2 linked regions of the Saccharomyces cerevisiae S288C genome follow. Changing the gene in region 1 together with any one later gene gives a genetic interaction. Each region holds a gene or a part of one and is shown in the gene's direction. Other genes may lie near its edges.

Region 1 (8,251 bases):
TGTTTTCCTTAACAGGCTCTGAGCAAAATATGGAGAGAGAGGTCTCATTTACTTTGCCATTCTTCATTTAAGCTTGAGGCTTGTTCTACTGAAATGTTAAGTTCTCAGAAGCCAACTTTGGATCAAAGGGCTTTGTTAGTAGCAAAACGCTATTTCTATTGATTTTGATTATTTTTCGAAACATTAAGAGCACAATGTATATTAATTTTCCCTGATGAATAGTTAAGATGATTAGATGGGCTAGGCGCTTAAAAATGAGAAACAGGTGAAATTTGAGATAAATGTTGATTTCGTTGTTGCTAAAGGCTATAATATCAGGTATACAAAATATACTGGAAATATACCTCGAGAATCTTGGAATCCACGAAAGGGAATAGATATTACTCCATAATAATATTATGTTGGAACGAGAGTAATTAATAGTGACATGAGTTGCTATGGTAACAATTCAATGCTTACATCGTATATTAATGTACAACTCGTATACGTTTAAGTGTGATTGCGCCTATTGCAGAAGGAATGTTAAACGAGAAGCTCAGACAATACTGAAGCTGTGTTAAAGACCTATTAGTTGAACATGTTATGGTAGGTACATATATGAGGAATATGAGTCGTCACATCAATGTATAGTAACTACCGGAATCACTATTATATTGGTCATGATTAATATGACCAATCGGCGTGTGTTTTATATACCTCTCTTATTTAGTATAAGAAGATCAGTAATTATTTCTTCATTAATACTAATTTTTAACCTCTAATTATCAACATATTATTTCTCCTTTCGTTTTATCTGATGTCATTCATTGATTGCCAGCAACTATCCCAAACCTCATGTGATTCTCGGATTCCTTACCACGAAAAAACAGATGTGTAAGTGTATTTGAACACACAATAATAAAAATGATTATCATTCCCAGATGGAGGAGCCCATTCCAAACATAGCAAAATTCAGCACATCCTCTTCGTTAGCATTTCCGTATGGAAGCAACCCTCAGTCCAACAAATACCGTTTAAACAAATGAGCGACATTTATTCGCTTTTTCTAAAATAAAGGTCCCCGCTGAAACTTCTTTGCATACAGTTCAAATATTCCACCGTTCTCTTATATGTGGGGCTGGCACTACTTCGTATAATTGACTATACTATCTATATTAGTCTTCCCACATGTAATAGAAAGCTCGTATGGCGCAGTGGTAGCGCAGCAGATTGCAAATCTGTTGGTCCTTAGTTCGATCCTGAGTGCGAGCTTCTTTTTTTTTTTGCAATCCTTATTGAACTTTTTTTCTTGCTGCAGTCTCCTCAAAGGCAACATGTTCTTTGCTTTTTTTCCCCAACGACGTCGAACACATTAGTCCTATGGCTTGCTGCAGATAAGGCTACTATGTGTATTGGCAATACCCTTTTTAAAATTGGCAGATCTCTTATGGCGATCGCCGAACGCCAGGTTGTTAGCTAACTGCAACGGCACGCATCTTTGGCTGCATTTCGCCTCATCATTTACGCGCTTTTCCAGGCTTTTTCCCCTTATCAGATAAGATAAAAAAACGAACAATAAATAAGCTTCAGATAAGATAAGCAGGAAAGCGTTCCTAGCCCTACCGAGAAATGTGCGTTTATAGTTTGGTGCCTCTTTCTTGATTGACGCTCTATAATGAAACCAATATGCGTTCATTCCCCTATTTCATAGGGCACTCTGTTCGCAGTTAGCGCAAGCCATTGAGATAAGACACGCAGATGTTTTGCTTTTTCCTGCTTCTTAATTTGAATCGAGCTTTGTTAGACGTTGTTGGAAATTGAATGTTTGTATTTAAACACTAGAGCAGATGAGGTGTGAGATTTGTATACTCGCTCACTTCTGAATATCAGGCTCTCTTAGCTAAGCTTTTTTTTTCTAGGATCATATAGGCTCAAGTTTTTATAAGCTTATATTAATATATCAGTGGAGCAGCTGATATACACCAAATTTCAATTTACATTAATATAAAAGATAAAAAATAGAAATATCTTTTTTATAGTCACAATAAATTTCAGTTTTGATTAAAAAATGACAGTTAGTTCCGATACAACTGCTGAAATATCGTTAGGTTGGTCAATCCAAGACTGGATTGATTTCCACAAGTCATCAAGCTCCCAGGCTTCACTAAGGCTTCTTGAATCACTACTAGACTCTCAAAATGTTGCGCCAGTCGATAATGCGTGGATATCGCTAATTTCAAAGGAAAATTTACTGCACCAATTCCAAATTTTAAAGAGCAGAGAAAATAAAGAAACTCTACCTCTCTACGGTGTCCCTATTGCTGTTAAGGACAACATCGACGTTAGAGGTCTACCCACCACCGCTGCATGTCCATCCTTTGCATATGAGCCTTCCAAAGACTCTAAAGTAGTAGAACTACTAAGAAATGCAGGTGCGATAATCGTGGGTAAGACAAACTTGGACCAATTTGCCACAGGATTAGTCGGCACACGGTCTCCATATGGGAAAACACCTTGCGCTTTTAGCAAAGAGCATGTATCTGGTGGTTCCTCCGCTGGGTCAGCATCGGTGGTCGCCAGAGGTATCGTACCAATTGCATTGGGTACTGATACAGCAGGTTCTGGTAGAGTCCCAGCCGCCTTGAACAACCTGATTGGCCTAAAGCCAACAAAGGGCGTCTTTTCCTGTCAAGGTGTAGTTCCCGCTTGTAAATCTTTAGACTGCGTCTCCATCTTTGCATTAAACCTAAGTGATGCTGAACGCTGCTTCCGCATCATGTGCCAGCCAGATCCTGATAATGATGAATATTCTAGACCCTATGTTTCCAACCCTTTGAAAAAATTTTCAAGCAATGTAACGATTGCTATTCCTAAAAATATCCCATGGTATGGTGAAACCAAGAATCCTGTACTGTTTTCCAATGCTGTCGAAAATCTATCAAGAACGGGCGCTAACGTCATAGAAATTGATTTTGAGCCTCTTTTAGAGTTAGCTCGCTGTTTATACGAAGGTACTTGGGTGGCCGAGCGTTATCAAGCTATTCAATCGTTTTTGGACAGTAAACCACCAAAGGAATCTTTGGACCCTACTGTTATTTCAATTATAGAAGGGGCCAAGAAATACAGTGCAGTAGACTGCTTCAGTTTTGAATACAAAAGACAAGGCATCTTGCAAAAAGTGAGACGACTTCTCGAATCAGTCGATGTATTGTGTGTGCCCACATGTCCTTTAAATCCTACTATGCAACAAGTTGCGGATGAACCAGTCCTAGTCAATTCAAGACAAGGCACATGGACTAATTTTGTCAACTTGGCAGATTTGGCAGCCCTTGCTGTTCCCGCAGGGTTCCGAGACGATGGTTTGCCAAATGGTATTACTTTAATCGGTAAAAAATTCACAGATTACGCACTATTAGAGTTGGCTAACCGCTATTTCCAAAATATATTCCCCAACGGTTCCAGAACATACGGTACTTTTACCTCTTCTTCAGTAAAGCCAGCAAACGATCAATTAGTGGGACCAGACTATGACCCATCTACGTCCATAAAATTGGCTGTTGTCGGTGCACATCTTAAGGGTCTGCCTCTACATTGGCAATTGGAAAAGGTCAATGCAACATATTTATGTACAACAAAAACATCAAAAGCTTACCAGCTTTTTGCTTTGCCCAAAAATGGACCAGTTTTAAAACCTGGTTTGAGAAGAGTTCAAGATAGCAATGGCTCTCAAATCGAATTAGAAGTGTACAGTGTTCCAAAAGAACTGTTCGGTGCTTTTATTTCCATGGTTCCTGAACCATTAGGAATAGGTTCAGTGGAGTTAGAATCTGGTGAATGGATCAAATCCTTTATTTGTGAAGAATCTGGTTACAAAGCCAAAGGTACAGTTGATATCACAAAGTATGGTGGATTTAGAGCATATTTTGAAATGTTGAAGAAAAAAGAGTCCCAAAAGAAGAAGTTATTTGATACCGTGTTAATTGCCAATAGAGGTGAAATTGCCGTTCGTATTATCAAGACATTAAAAAAATTGGGTATTAGATCAGTTGCAGTTTATTCCGACCCTGATAAATATTCTCAACACGTTACTGATGCAGATGTTTCTGTACCCCTTCATGGCACAACCGCAGCCCAAACTTATTTAGACATGAATAAGATCATAGATGCCGCTAAGCAAACTAATGCACAGGCCATTATTCCTGGTTATGGTTTCTTGTCGGAAAATGCGGATTTTTCTGATGCGTGCACCAGTGCTGGCATTACCTTTGTTGGTCCTTCGGGAGATATTATCAGAGGTTTAGGGTTAAAACATTCTGCTAGACAGATTGCACAGAAGGCTGGCGTTCCTCTAGTGCCAGGCTCTTTGCTTATCACATCAGTTGAAGAGGCTAAGAAAGTCGCAGCGGAATTGGAATACCCAGTTATGGTGAAGTCAACTGCTGGTGGCGGTGGTATTGGTTTGCAGAAAGTCGATTCTGAAGAGGACATCGAGCATATTTTTGAGACTGTGAAACATCAAGGTGAAACATTTTTCGGTGACGCTGGTGTATTTCTGGAACGGTTTATCGAAAATGCCAGGCATGTTGAAGTCCAACTTATGGGAGATGGTTTTGGTAAGGCCATTGCTTTGGGCGAACGTGATTGTTCTTTACAGCGTCGTAACCAAAAAGTTATCGAAGAAACTCCTGCACCAAATTTGCCAGAAAAGACGAGGTTGGCGTTAAGAAAGGCAGCTGAAAGTTTGGGATCTTTATTGAATTACAAGTGTGCTGGTACGGTTGAATTTATTTACGATGAGAAAAAGGACGAGTTTTACTTTTTAGAAGTTAATACAAGATTACAAGTTGAACATCCAATAACAGAAATGGTTACAGGGTTAGACTTGGTCGAGTGGATGATCAGGATTGCCGCTAATGATGCACCTGATTTTGATTCTACAAAGGTAGAAGTCAATGGGGTTTCAATGGAGGCACGTTTATATGCTGAAAATCCATTGAAAAATTTCAGACCTTCTCCAGGTTTACTTGTCGATGTGAAATTTCCTGATTGGGCAAGAGTGGATACTTGGGTTAAGAAAGGTACTAATATTTCTCCCGAATATGATCCAACATTGGCCAAAATTATCGTTCATGGGAAAGACCGTGATGATGCAATTTCCAAGTTAAATCAAGCGTTAGAAGAAACAAAAGTTTACGGATGTATTACTAACATTGACTACCTGAAGTCTATCATTACCAGTGATTTCTTTGCTAAAGCAAAAGTTTCTACAAACATTTTGAACTCTTATCAATATGAGCCTACCGCCATCGAAATTACTTTGCCCGGTGCACACACTAGTATTCAGGATTACCCCGGTAGAGTTGGGTACTGGAGAATTGGTGTTCCGCCCTCTGGTCCAATGGACGCATATTCGTTTAGATTGGCGAACAGAATTGTTGGTAATGACTACAGGACTCCTGCCATTGAAGTAACGTTGACTGGTCCATCCATCGTTTTCCATTGTGAAACTGTCATTGCCATTACTGGTGGTACCGCTCTATGTACATTAGACGGCCAAGAAATTCCCCAACACAAACCGGTCGAAGTTAAGAGGGGATCTACTTTATCCATTGGCAAGTTGACAAGCGGCTGTAGAGCATACTTAGGTATCAGGGGTGGCATTGATGTGCCTAAATACTTGGGCTCTTATTCTACTTTCACTCTAGGAAATGTCGGTGGATACAATGGAAGGGTGCTAAAACTTGGAGACGTACTATTCTTACCAAGCAATGAAGAAAATAAATCAGTTGAGTGCCTTCCACAGAATATTCCTCAATCATTAATTCCTCAAATTTCCGAAACTAAGGAATGGAGAATTGGTGTAACATGTGGTCCCCATGGGTCTCCAGATTTTTTTAAACCTGAGTCCATCGAAGAATTTTTCAGTGAGAAGTGGAAGGTTCATTACAACTCCAATAGATTTGGTGTCCGTTTGATTGGACCTAAACCTAAGTGGGCAAGAAGTAATGGTGGTGAAGGTGGTATGCATCCTTCAAACACTCACGATTACGTTTATTCTCTGGGTGCAATTAATTTCACGGGTGATGAGCCAGTTATTATTACTTGCGATGGTCCTTCCTTAGGTGGTTTTGTGTGTCAAGCTGTTGTCCCAGAAGCAGAACTGTGGAAGGTTGGACAGGTTAAACCCGGTGATTCCATTCAGTTTGTGCCACTTTCTTACGAAAGCTCGAGATCCTTAAAGGAATCTCAGGATGTTGCAATTAAATCATTGGATGGTACTAAGTTAAGGCGCTTAGACTCTGTTTCAATTTTACCATCATTCGAAACGCCTATTCTTGCACAAATGGAAAAAGTGAATGAGCTTTCACCAAAGGTTGTATACAGACAAGCAGGTGATCGTTATGTTTTGGTGGAATACGGTGATAATGAAATGAATTTTAATATTTCCTATAGAATTGAATGCCTGATCTCCCTTGTGAAAAAGAATAAGACTATTGGTATTGTTGAAATGTCCCAAGGTGTTAGATCTGTATTGATAGAATTTGATGGTTACAAAGTCACTCAAAAAGAATTGCTTAAAGTATTGGTGGCATATGAAACAGAAATCCAGTTTGATGAAAATTGGAAGATAACTTCTAATATAATAAGATTACCGATGGCTTTCGAAGACTCGAAGACTTTGGCATGTGTTCAAAGGTATCAAGAAACAATTCGTTCGTCTGCTCCATGGTTGCCAAATAACGTTGATTTCATTGCCAATGTAAATGGAATTTCAAGGAATGAAGTTTATGATATGTTGTATTCTGCCAGATTTATGGTTTTAGGTTTAGGTGATGTCTTCCTAGGGTCGCCTTGTGCTGTTCCATTAGATCCTCGTCACAGATTTTTGGGAAGCAAGTACAACCCAAGTAGAACATATACAGAAAGAGGTGCAGTCGGTATTGGCGGTATGTATATGTGCATATATGCTGCTAACAGTCCTGGTGGGTACCAATTAGTGGGTAGAACAATACCAATTTGGGACAAACTATGTCTGGCCGCATCTTCTGAGGTTCCGTGGTTGATGAACCCATTTGACCAAGTCGAATTTTACCCAGTTTCTGAAGAAGATTTGGATAAAATGACTGAAGATTGTGATAATGGTGTTTATAAAGTCAATATCGAAAAGAGTGTTTTTGATCATCAAGAATACTTGAGATGGATCAACGCAAACAAAGATTCCATCACAGCATTCCAGGAGGGCCAGCTTGGTGAAAGAGCAGAGGAATTTGCCAAATTGATTCAAAATGCAAACTCTGAACTAAAAGAAAGTGTCACAGTCAAACCTGACGAGGAAGAAGACTTCCCAGAAGGTGCAGAAATTGTATATTCTGAGTATTCTGGGCGTTTTTGGAAATCCATAGCATCTGTTGGAGATGTTATTGAAGCAGGTCAAGGGCTACTAATTATTGAAGCCATGAAAGCGGAAATGATTATATCCGCTCCTAAATCGGGTAAGATTATCAAGATTTGCCATGGCAATGGTGATATGGTTGATTCTGGTGACATAGTGGCCGTCATAGAGACATTGGCATGAATTACCTTTTGTTGGCATCTAAAATCAAAGGAGCACTCATTTAGTCTTTATAGCATGCCTTTTTCTAGCTATTTTTAATGACGAATATATATGTACATAGTATTTACTGTAAAATGTATGAAAAGAAGCTTAAAATTATTACGTGTGTTTGTTATGTTCTCAATTTGCTGAACCACTGCTATCAATTATTAGGGGCACAGAACTATCTTTGGACCGTCTTTGACTGTCTGGCTCTGATGTGCTAGAGTTGAGTTCAGAAGTATGATGTTTGAGATCGAGCGATGCCTTGGCAATGCTTAATCTTTTCATAATACGTTTCTTTTGCCAGCTAATAGGTAGATATGGGATATATCCGTATTTTTCTTCTATCATTAGCAGTTTCAAAGCGCATATTAATACCAACCAGTAGGCGTTGTAGCTAATTACAGAGCCGACGGTAGCACTATTCGTCCAACCAAAAATGGCAGTAAAAATCATCCAACCTCCATCTTTTTCACCATTGCAACAATTAACATGCCAAACAGAACGAGATATGTCGTACGAACCGGGTCCATTTCCTACTTCACTCATGTCTTGACCGTTACATTTGTTGACGTAGTCTTGCAATTCAAGTTGCCATACACCTTTGGAAAACAAACCAGCCGCGATCAAGTAGAGGAAGCAGGTGGCGACTACAAGGCATATCTTAAGTGAAAG
Region 2 (4,686 bases), on another chromosome or scaffold:
TTTCTATTTTTTTTTTTTTTAAGATCAGTTGTTTGCTGCTGGCACCTCCACTGATTCGTAATTGCTAGCCGTTATTGAGTTCTCAAAATGTTCCTCCTCAGAGCTTTTGTTAATGATGAAAAATGAGCCTAAGATGAGGGTAGCACCAAATAAATAGAGCGCAGACATGGTTTTGTGCTTAAAGATTACATCACCAAACATTGCTAGGGGTATCGTTATGCTCAATCCTACGGTGACGGTTAAAGGACTCGTTAGTAACATAGCCTTTGCCCAACAAAAGTCGCTAACAAATGTGATGAGACAATTGACGAAGATTATTACCACAACTTTAGGATCTTTGGGCAGAGAGAATGGTTCCCAGCCAAAAAAGTCCAATACAATCAGTGATGGCCATAGAAAAAGTAAATTAAAGAGACCAACAAAGCCAAAAAAAATCTTCATGTTAACACGAGTCTCATCTCCGACTTCTCTCTTCAATAAAGTACTGTAGACACCGTAAAGTACAGCACCTGCAAGTGCCAACAAGTTGCCTATCAGAACTTGCACGGCATCGTTATCATCACCACTAACGTCCGCGATATGGCGTTGGTAGCGCTGATGAGAATCTGATTTGGTGACCATGATTATGCCTACAAAGGAAATGAACGACCCGAGTACTTTGGACTTGCTCAACGATTCAACATGACAAATAGCACCTATGAACAAGGTGAAAAAGGAAGAAGTAGTGGAGAGGATTGTCTGCGATGCCACCGATGTGAATGCCAGCGAGGCATTGGTCACAAGGTTAGCTGTGAACCAAAGTATGCAGAACTCAGCACTTAACTTGATTGTTTCATATAACGTTAGCCTCTTCTTTTGGTTGGCATGCGTGCCTGCTTCAAGGTTTGTAAGCAGTGGGCTAGTCATATCAACCGAGCGATTGCTATCACTACCAGTACCTTCTTCCTCCATAATTAGTTCGCGGTGAACGTTTGCACGGCCTGTGTCCTTGTAATTCACCACAACGGCCTTTGCAGTTGGAAAAAGATAAAAGATAAAGGCGGCAGTATTGGTGTACGTGATAAAGAATGGTTTTCTATACGAGTCATCCTCGAAGATCAAATTTATCAGGAAGGACGATAAAACCCACAAAATAATGACTAGACCCAACATCAGAAGACCCAAGGTCCACCTCTTATTAAAGGACGTTTGATCCTTCGACACCATGGCTCTGTTGAACTTTTATCTGAGAGAGGAAAAAAAGGAAGGAAAAAAAAGAAGAAACTTCCTTTATTTATTTGTCTTAACCACAACACACAATGCAATAAGATGCAATATAATATCAAAGCCAATATCTTATGTTGCTGATCCTGAGAAGGAATATATACAATTTATGTAGTAAAATACCTTTTCTTCTGCGAGTTGCAAGAAATAGAAAAGACTCCGATTGCGCATCGCCAGAATAAAATTTCACAACCACACTTTTTGGCTGAACTTTTTATTACCTGATTAAACAGAGAGAGAAAAGGTAGAGGTCAAAATTTTTTAAGCAAAACTAAAAAAGATGCAAAATCACGTGCTGAAAATCTAACATAAGGGTTAAGATTAGAGTTTTATAGGACTTGTTTTGTAATATTTCAAATACGAGCTAACCCTACTGATTTCAATTAGGTCTAATTTAGGGTTGAGCTGCACTGAAATTTCGGAAATTTTGGGTTATTTTAAATGAGACAGAAGAACTACAGAGATACGTTCTTCAGACTTTAAAGCTTATCTCCACAAAGAATTGGTCAAGAAATCATCCTAGAAAAACACGTTTGCTCACTCGATCTTAATCACATAGAGTGCTGGAACGGGAAGAAATGGGTATGTGCCTCGGTTTTTCTCATTAACCCCTTTTGATCCATAACGGTCCTCTTTTGTTTCCTTTTTTTTTTTTGTTTTAGTATTTTATGTTTACTATTTTCTTCTGTTTCAGTCATACGTAGGAATTATTGCATGAAAGAGGATATAATATTCATGTGGATTTTTAAGAAAATAGATCAAGTTTAAATAGCCACTAACAATTGAACAATGCTCTCTCTTGGCCTCTTTTCTTCTTTTTTATCGTTTCTCTAAAAATCAAGCTGATTAGACATGGTCTTGCAATGTTTTTGCTTTCTCTAATCAGCTTGGTTTTCCGCAAAGAAGAGAAAGTCACGGAATTGTCTACATATGTTTCTATTCAGGAACAAATAATACATCTAATAATAATGGCACTACGAAGAAAATGTCCCTAGAAGAATTTCTAGGGAACGACACTTTAGGCGAGTCAGTATGGGATGAGGAAGATATTAATTTGGATGCTATAAGCAATACTACGAATATTGACATCTTGAAACAAACCAAGGCAGGCGAACATCAACGTGATGGTCACCAACAGCACCCACACGGTGGTCATGGACCCATGAACAGATCACGTTTTTCTAATGCAGGGCCTTTTGGTGGTGGTAGCATGGGGGACTTTGCAAATCATCACCACCCGCTGCAGCATCAGCAAGGTCCTCCTTATATTGTGAAGTTTTCTGATTTACCACCGAGATTTTCCAACTTTGACATTGAAGATCTTTTTCAAGCAAAGTTTACCAAGTTTATTAAGTTCAAACTGTTTTGGGAGATAAATAAAAATCCAAGTATTTCTACTTTGAAATCGGGGTCAATCTTTGATCAAAATTTCAAACGTGACTCGAAGGTAGCATTTGTCGAGTTATATACATCCCGTGATATGGACAAAATTTTGAACTATTGGACCACTCCTTTGAAGGAAATTTACCACATTACAACAGCGCCCGCAGAATTCGAAGATTTTAAGGATTACAGCACGAAGGTGAAATTATTAACAGACCCTAAAGACGATGCTGGCAAACCATTCATTACTAAGACTCAGCGGTCAAAATCCAATCCTTTTGGAAGTGCTAAACCGGTTGATACGCAATCGAAGATTTTGGACATTGAAGAAAAAATGGAAAATTTACACGTGGAAGATACAACAACCCTGAGGGCATCATTAATCCCTAGTAGTGATTCTATGGCAACCACTGCAACAGGCAGCAAGATCACAATCTTGAAAAAGCAGACACCTACAGAGGAGGAATCACATTCTGCAACCCCAACTCCCAAACCTTTAAGTTACTCTGAAGTAGTTGAGAGATCTGTGGTCAATGAAACTTCCAAGAAAGGAACTCCATTAAGCAAGCTTGACTCACCAGCTCTTGAACTACAATCTAAGCCCGATAAATCGGACGAGTTCAAAGGTGGCGATGAACAAGGCTTTGAGAAAGGTGGCGACGATAAAGCTCAATTAGATGTCTCAAATGATAAAGATAAAGGTTCAGAAACCGATGTTGATAAACAGTTCACTTTCAAGAATGTGGAAAGGGAACATAGTATGAGCAGAACCAAATATAACGGAAACCATAATAACAATAATGGCAATTTTAGAGGGAGTAATAGATATCGTGGAGGCCCCAATGGCAGCAGTTATAAAGGTGGGCATAACAATCGTGGTAATCGCGGCGGATATCGTGGTGGCAGCTCATACAACAACAACAACAACAACACTAATGATAATAATAATAATAATAATAATAGTAGTAGTAATAATAATAACGGTTCAAGATATCATGATCGACAAAACAATGAAGAAGGGTTAACCTCGGATTCATCTTTAGATGCCTCAGGAAATAAAAAGAATGATTTCACGAACTCAACATCCAATACACAACAATATTCCATTTTCAAACCAGCAAGTGGGTTCCTTGGCCAAGGTAATAATGATTCTATAAGGAACAATGGACGCGGTAACTATAACAGCAGCGGTATGAATGGAGGTTCGAGAGGAAGAGGATTTGGCAGAGGAAGGGGATTTGGCAGAGGCGCATATAACAATCGAGGTAGTCGTGGTGGACGTGGAAGCAGCGGTAACTACTCCAACTACAATAACAGAACAACAGACATGCCTTTATGAGTCATGTACTGACCCATTAATTTTCTTTTCTCTTTTTTTTTTTTTTTTTTTTTTTTCCTCTATTTCCTTTTTTTGTTCTAGTCGGTTACGCAGTTCTGAGTAATGTAATATAGCGTTCCTTTTCCTCTCAGATTTTTTTGACCTTATTTTGTTTCCACTTTTTACTACTTATGCTGCTTTTTGTCCATTTCCCCTTCAGTTGTTTTGAATTTTTTTTTTAAAAAAAATTCGTCTTTCTGATTAATCAATTTTGATTATATATTTTCTCTTGATTAGTTCACAATTTTTATAGGCCCTTATTTCTTAAAGAAGTTTTATGAAGTTTCGTAAGTATTGGGGGGGTTGAAAATAATCTCTCACGTTATACGCAATAAAAAATTAAAATTAAGGAGAACCAATCTATAGAAACGAACCATTGAATTTAGCTATATGACTATATACCATTACGTAATTTATATAAACAGCTTAATATAGCGAAAGCAAAGTAGAACGAAATTTCGGAGAGTTCTAGATTGTATAGAGCGAATGAGCATTCAATACACACGCGAAGGCAGTAGGCGATGAAAGGAAGTTTTTTAATGTCATTAAGAAAAAGATAGGGAACTTCTATTTCCTGTCTTTCATATATATATATATATATATATATATATATATGTGCATATGTACATCGTTGAGTTGTTCATGAAATAATGAATATAATA

Evidence for each region.
Region 2: mutations in DUR12 (region 1) and PSP2 together harm fitness more than expected from each alone (negative genetic interaction), as found in Saccharomyces cerevisiae (one large-scale study listed by BioGRID).

The regions. Positions count from the first base shown.
Region 1 is NC_001134.8:636,007-644,257, reverse strand, and holds DUR12 (bifunctional urea carboxylase/allophanate hydrolase), read left to right. Parts: upstream 1-2,047; coding exon 2,048-7,555; downstream 7,556-8,251. Other genes in the region: YBR209W (uncharacterized protein), read right to left, coding at 1,358-1,675; FTH1 (Fth1p), read right to left, coding at 7,715-8,251. UniProt on the Saccharomyces cerevisiae protein: Hydrolysis of urea to ammonia and CO(2).
Region 2 is NC_001145.3:234,747-239,432, forward strand, and holds PSP2 (Psp2p), read left to right. Parts: upstream 1-1,841; coding exon 1,842-1,845; intron 1,846-2,207; coding exon 2,208-3,985; downstream 3,986-4,686. Other genes in the region: YML018C (uncharacterized protein), read right to left, coding at 25-1,206. UniProt on the Saccharomyces cerevisiae protein: DNA polymerase alpha mutation suppressor. Suppressor of group II intron splicing defects of a mutation in MRS2. May play a role in mitochondrial mRNA splicing.